Linked DNA regions of Kluyveromyces lactis. The protein of the gene in region 1 interacts with the protein of each later gene in a biochemical or structural test. Links are inferred from orthologs where the notes say so. Each region holds a gene or a part of one and is shown in the gene's direction. Other genes may lie near its edges.

Region 1 (4,621 bases):
TAATTTGGGAAAATTGGTAATATCCATGAATTGCACTCCTTTCCTCTTGAGAGACCATTTCTCGGTCTCTCGTACCATAATAGTCTTACCTTCCTCGATCTCAAGAACATGTAAACTATCAAATGGCAAAGCTGCCACAGAAGCTGCCAACAAGAACCACCCAAACTTCATAACTAGCCAATCTGATATTTGCTACGGAGTTGAAGCAAAGTATACACCGGTAGATGCTTGTACTGTCCCTTTTAATACAGTATTTATCCACTTGTTTCTGAAGGGAAAAAGGGTTTTTTTGACATCTAAGTAGAACTAACGTTGTTTAGAAGTTTAGTGTACATATTATGGAAAATGATATTCATTGATATACAATAATGGAGAAAGGGAGAAACCAAAGATCAAAAGATGACATCTTCCTCTTGTTCGGTAATCAGAGCTTCTACTTGTGGGCCAGATTGTTCTTCTTGTTCTTGTGTGTCGGCAGCTTCTACGCCAGTTTTGGTCGCTTCTTGAGAATCTGGTTTACCTTCAGACTCAGCATTTGCTTCATCTAATTTCTTCTGCTTCATTTCAGCATCCAACTGAGCAGTTTGAATCTGTTTCTTTTCTTGCACTTTCTTCAATCTATAAAACTCTTCTCTATCCAATTCGTCTAGCTCGGAGTTGATATAAGCAATGGTGTTTTCCGTTCTTGGAATGATCACATGTTCAATGGCATTCACTCTACGGTTGGTAACTTTGATAACTTCGTCCAAGATAATGAAAGCCGTTTGTAACGAAGCCAATTCAACTAGTGTTTCAACAGCCCTTGAGTAAATTTCCTTAGCACGCTGAACTTGTTGACCACCACGACCTAGACCTGTCATTTTGAAGTCGTTGATGTTGGAGTCGATGAATGATTCAAATTGAGGCAAGTACACACCACTCACGTTTTCTTGCGTGGCCCTAACTTTGAATCTTGCATTGGCAACATTCTCTTGAACTTGGTACCCTATATTTTCACCTGTAGCATATGTGACCTCCGCCAAAGAGAACGCAGCTGTTTGCATCACTCTGCCCATCTTCTGCTTTGAATCATCTATTCTTTTAGTGATATCACGGAATCTCTTCGTTAATGCTTCAGACTTTCTCTTCAACAAAGAATAACCCTGATTAGCACCCTTTAACTTAGTCTTCATAAGACCCAAGGTCATACGAGTGGGGAAAACCTGTTCCCTATTACTAGACATTTTTCGATAAAATTCAAGATGCTAGGAGTGAAGTCGTTCCTTCCTTGCTGTAATATGTTATCAGTACGCTTAGTACCAAACTCACCTGATTGGTACAGTAGAAAAACAGTTCTTTTCAAAGAAAAAGCAAACGATTACAAGTAAATGTGTTCCAGGTTGGATACTTGTCAGTGCCAGCCTAATTGCAACGTTCTGCCCCAGCTGATATATGCCCCCCTTTTCTACCTTTCTTTCGTCAAATGATTGAATGTCTTATATTTCAGATATTTTGAAAATTGGTTAATTTCGAAATTTAGATATTATTTCATTTACGGTGATATGTCAAAACGTTTAATGAGATGAGTTACAATTAAAGCTCCATCTAAGGTAAAGTTAGTGCACTGTTTTTCCACCAGGTACTGCGAGAGACATATGTTTCGATGGAAATAGATAAATTTGTCAAGGAGGAAGATATTCCGTTTGAGTATGGTGTTGTTAGAGAAAGAGACAATGCTGTATCATGGTCGAGATATTTGGCAACTAAAAGATCAGCAGGCGATGAGTTGAATTTAGATTGGCTATACGAACGTTGTTTGAAGGAGATCAAGGACGACTGGCATCTATGGAAAGAGTTCTTGAAATGGAGGATAGAATTATTGAACGATTGTGATATTTTCAGGCACAAAGATGAATACAATAAGATATCGTTACTATTCGAACAGTGCTTAACATCATGTGGCAAAGTTGGGGATGCATGGATTATGTATATGGAATGGGTAATACAGTTTAAGGATTTGAAGAGGATTAGAGAACTGCTTGGAAAAGCGCTACGATCAATGTCGTGGGAGTACCATGAAGCAATATGGCGTGTTGTCATCGATTTCATTATCAATGAATTGTTAATAGACAACAAGAGGTATGAACTTTCTTTAGAGGATTCCATCTACTATTTTGTTCACGGAGAGCATTCGACGAATTTTGATACAGACCTCTGGTCTTCCTCAATCCTACAGAGATATTCACTTATTTGTGACGACATAGAGCCTTTATTGATCTACATTTTTAAGACTCATGATTGGAGCACGATCGTTCGAGTATTTGAAAAACATCTATCACCTAATTTAAAGCCATCTCAGACAAGTTTATTTGAACTTTACGTTAGTTACATCACTTCAATGATTCTTGTGGATAATTCAGCAGGGGTTGCTGCGGTAGTGGACCAATGTATCGAATTATTCCCTTTCAAGAAGGGTGAACTTAAGACATATTTGATATTTAACCTGATACGTCAAGGAAAAATAACGGAAGCTGAGCTGTACTTAGAGAAAGTTATAAGCGAAACTAAAGACATTATCGAATTTTCTGTATTATATGATTTTTGGATTCGTATGGAGGAGCTATTGACCCAAGAATTAATTCAAAAGATGAAAGACGATAATTCAGAAAAGCAACGGCTGTTCGCAAATATAAGACTACATGCCGACACTCTAACCTCATTAATAAAAAACCACACTATTAGATTAAACGACTTAGAATTGAGGCGAGAACCCAACAACATCAAATTGTGGCTAGAACGAGTGAAGCTTTTTGATACCATCTCTGATAAAGCTAAAGTTTATGCAGATGCTGTTCTTACCGTGGACTATAGACTTCAGACTACTCCAGGGCTATTAGGAGAATTATGGTGTCAATATTGCAGACTTTTTGAAGAGGATATTGAAAAATCCGAGGTCTTGCTGGACAAAGCCACTAACGTCCCTTTCAAATTTTTAGTAGATCTTGAAAATGTTTGGTTATATTGGTGTGAATACAGACTAAAAAGAAGCATTGACGATGCCATAAAAGTTTTGTCCGTTGTATTAGAAATACCAGATAATCATGAATTACTCCTACAAAAATTTGAGAAAGGAGAATCGCCAGCACAAGCAGCAATTTTCTCATCTAAACGCTTATGGGCAATGTACCTTGACTTATTGGAGGTCAAAGGAAACTATGGTACAGCTGTAAATGCGTATGAAACAGCAATACTCATCAAGGCAGCAACACCAGCCATGTTTATTAATTATGCGTTATTAAATGAATCTTCTGGCCATCAAGCAGAAGCTTTGGCTGTTTTCGAAAGGAGTGTTGAGATTTTTCCTCCAAGCGTATCGAAGTCTATTTGGGATATATATCTGGATGTGGCACTCAAAGCTGATATCACTAAAGAGCAAAAAAGAGATATTTTTGAATCTGCTATTAAGCTTGCAGCTTCAGGAGTGGCATGTGTTTCGTTCTTTGAAAAGTACAGCGACTTTGAGTTAAACCTTGGTTTCCACGAGAGAAGTGTCGAGATTTTGCACAAAGGAGCCAAGAATATTTCGGATCTTGAAAGTAAATGTACTTTATGGGAAGAATGCATCAATAGAAGTGAAAAACAATTGGACGTCAATCACACCAGAAAACTATATGAAGAATGTATAGAAACATTGCCCAATTCTAAAGCAATCAAGTTTCTACTTCCATTTGCTATCTTAGAAGAATCGCGTAATGAGGTTGCTCGTTGTAGAGCATTGTTAGACTACGGGAGCAAATTACTGAAGCCCGCACAGAATGAAGAACTTTGGGATTTCTGGAGGAATTTCGAAACTATGCACGGTACAAAAGACTCGTTCAAGAACATGCTAAAAGCACGTAGGTTCCTAGAGGACACAATGAAAGTAAATACAGAGGAAGTATCCAGACATGCAGATAGCATCGAATTTAGGGCGTCAACTGCGAAAATTAGTGGAAGCGGACCACCAAGCGCAGAAGATAAAGGATACTCAAATACGGCTGAAATTGATTTAGGTCTATAAAATGGATATATATTGATTAAAGTTGATAATGGCATATCGATCAATCTCTTATGTTTTGTTTTGGAAGATGTCGTATTGTCTTTCTTTGATGACGTGTAACATACAAAAACACTAGTATCTTACTGTTTTTCGACCCAATCAGTTGAACTCATGTGGGATAATCTACTTAGGGCTCTTGCAAATGCAAACCGTTCTTCATCTAATGCGAAAATCTGTGCTTTTTTGGCAATATCCTTAGAAAATCCGTGTTTACTGACCAATTCATCCTCTACTTCAGGTTCATCTTCATGTTTCATTTGATCTGCTGGTTTAAGCTCATAGTCGTTGACAATATCTTCTGGTTCCACGAATAGTGAGGTGAAGTCATCTGCACCAGTGGTAGCTAATTTACCACCGTTATCGTAAACTGCATCCAAGAATGTAATGAACCGTCTAACTTCGTCACGTACGTATATGGTTAAGTATGGCAAATCTGTGACAACAAAGGACTTGAATGAGTTAGCCAAAGTTAAATAGTCACCAGCAGCCAAAGGTTCTCCACATAATTGTTTAAAGGTGAATTGTGCTACTCTCCCAGGTGTA
Region 2 (2,866 bases), on another chromosome or scaffold:
GGTAATCCGAGAGGCTGTGTTCTATCATAGAAATACGAGAACACATATAGATCACTTGTTTCTTTGAAGGTGTGGACCAACGATGGTTGATGAATACCGTTGAATGAGCATGGAGGTGTGTTACATTTAGCGTCTTTGTTTAAGATCTTATCGGCAAGGTATCTACACTGTGGACCAGCCGGAACCTTTGGACCCTTGAAGTTGACAGTATAAATTTCGTCATCACTAATCTTAACTTTCTCGCCTTCAGCAGTGGTTCCCGGAGGTAAACATGGGGAGCTCAATTCATAAGTTCTTGCAGTTTGACCCTTAGTAATGGTTCCCGAGCTGATCGCAACGTTGACCAATTCAGTGTTAATCTTATTTCTACCTTGCATCAAACCATATCCCAAATGAGAAAATTGATATAGAGTATAATCATGACCACCGAAACTTAGCTCGTATTTATGTTCACCATCAACCATCTTTTCATTAGGAGGGAAACTTGGCTCGAACACAATTTGAGTAGAACCACCACCAAGATCGAAAACAGCTGCCGTTGGTAATTTAGAACCAGCGCCAATATTACCCAACAGATAGTTTGCAGTGACCCAAGCGTAGACACCTTCTTCCTCACCATCCATAATAGAAACACCATCTCCATCGACCACTGGGAATGGATAATCCTGTTCCAAATGTTTACGAACTTGTGCCAAGATCTTTGAAGATTTTTCATCACCCAACATTCTCAAACCTGCGGTTGCCTTAACTGCAACAGGCGTACAATTTCTCTTATCCTTTGGAACCGCATCCATAGCAATTTTCAATAAAGGATCCAAGGACTTAGCGGCTCCCACAGCATCGATATCGAAACTAGATAGACCAGGCTTCAACATCTCGAAAGTTTCATTAATCAAAGTTGGTGGTTGGGTACAAACGTCAAATTCATACACATGTACACGACTGCCAGTAGAACCGGCATCAATCATAACCACGTACTTATGACCCTCAGTACACTGAGATTTGGAAAGGGAATTGGAACCAGATTCCAAATTCTGGGATGTGTGGTCTTTGGCTGTTTGCTTTTGTGAATCCTCATTGATATTTTGACTGATTGGTGAAGAAGCACCAGGAACTTTTAGCCCATCTGGTGTGTCGACTTTATTGGAGTTCGCCAATGAACCAACTTGTGGAGATGCTGACGACCTTAGCAAAAGAAGCAACATCAAAGCAGTTAAGGCCCCGATGAGGAACCTATAGTTCCTAACCACAGAATTGATGTGCATCTTTTTTTTTGATTTTAGTTATGATTCAGATTATTCTCGCCGTAGAAACCAGCAAATGAACACAGCTATAAACCCTGAATATTTGGAGTGACCAACGAAAGCTTTCTAGTAGATCAGATCGCGTTGCCCACGGAATTTATAGCACTGTTTAATCTGTAACTATCTTGTCGTCTTCTATCTGTATAGATTTCATGTTATTATGTTTTTTTTATGTTGACAGATATTAAGAAAAGATGAAAGGACATGAAATAAAACTACAAGAACCAATCCCAAAGAAGAAAACCAGAGAGTTAAATCGATGATTATACGGGATATCGAGGTAAAGAAAGGGCGAAGTAACGATGAGTCGTAACGTGAATAAAGCGAACTCTGTTCTCGTGCGATACCAGGAGCTACAGGCTGCCGAAACCGGTGGTTATCAGGATTTTTCGCGGTTGAAAAGACCTACCAGGATCAATAAGGTAACGAAGTTGGATGAAGCACTTCGATGGAGAAACGAGCTTGTGAAGGAGATAGGTCAACGTGTGACACAGATTCATGATCCATCGTTAAACGAGTCTCAAATCACGGAAATAAACGATGAACTCAATAAACTATTCCAGGAGAAGGGCAGATGGGATTTCCATATCAGAAATAAGTTAAAGGGTCCAGATTTGAAGAAGAGGAAGCAGTTAAATACCACAGGCGGAACCCTCATAGATGGGAAAAGGTATTTCGGTAGAGCTTTAGAATTACCAGAGGTTCAAAAATTATTGAGGGAATCCAAGGAACAAAGAGAGAAGGAAAGAAGTGGGAAGGAAAAGAAAGCGGAGTTGCAGAGGAAAATCAAACGATGGGAAAGTACATTGAAAGACGACTATTTTGTAGGAAATAACAGTGATGAACTTCTTGAATATGAGAAGAAACGTACTGGCTCACTTCGATCAACTATTCATTCTTCTGATCGGGACCCTTCTTTTGTGATACCAAATTTTGACGTTCCATCCTTAAAAGATGTCGAACTTTGGTTGGTGCAAAGAAGAAAGAATGAGTTAAAGAAGCAACTCGGGTTGTAGTAATCGGAGCTACGAGAAGTTAGGCTTTAGTATATAAGGGGAATGATATTTATCATAGTTGTACTATATACGCTTTTAATGATTGCCTCTCATATCCACAGCATGACGTTTTATTCTATTCTTATGAATGAAAATGATGATACCAACCAAAGATTAGTAAGTTATAATAATATTGTCAACTGGCTGGTTGAAGGTTTAACTAGCCTGTGAGTCATGACTTGGTAATTTAAACAACTGTGTCCCTCTGGCAAACAGTTTAGACATTCGACGAGTTGAACTTTCCTTTGGTCTCTCTGTTGCAGGTTCGCTAGGTATTTCGACAGGCTGGTTAAACACCCACGATTTCTGCTGACTATCAGTTCTCACATGGTTGGAAGAATGTGGTGAAGCAACAGTGCTGTCATTCCAGATGCTGTGGAAGGATGGCGAAAATGCCGTATCAGGCACAGAATGCATGCTTTTAGAAGGAATTACCATCGGTGATGATGCTGGACCATTGTTCAGTGCTGACTGGAAAGAGATAACGTCATCATTTTGAGGATCGTT

Evidence for each region.
Region 2: the proteins of SYF1 (region 1) and ISY1 form a complex in vitro, tested with the Saccharomyces cerevisiae proteins (2 studies listed by BioGRID). The link is inferred for Kluyveromyces lactis from reciprocal best matches to the Saccharomyces cerevisiae genes SYF1 and ISY1.

The regions. Positions count from the first base shown.
Region 1 is NC_006037.1:177,876-182,496, reverse strand, and holds SYF1 (mRNA splicing protein SYF1), read left to right. Parts: upstream 1-1,642; coding exon 1,643-4,039; downstream 4,040-4,621. Other genes in the region: KLLA0_A02013g (putative aminopeptidase), read right to left, coding at 1-171; VMA8 (H(+)-transporting V1 sector ATPase subunit D), read right to left, coding at 393-1,223; AFG1 (Afg1p), read right to left, coding at 4,159-4,621. UniProt on the Saccharomyces cerevisiae protein: Involved in pre-mRNA splicing and cell cycle control.
Region 2 is NC_006042.1:1,549,977-1,552,842, reverse strand, and holds ISY1 (Isy1p), read left to right. Parts: upstream 1-1,606; coding exon 1,607-2,320; downstream 2,321-2,866. Other genes in the region: GDA1 (guanosine diphosphatase), read right to left, coding at 1-1,265; GTA1 (Gta1p), read right to left, coding at 2,516-2,866. UniProt on the Saccharomyces cerevisiae protein: Involved in pre-mRNA splicing and cell cycle control.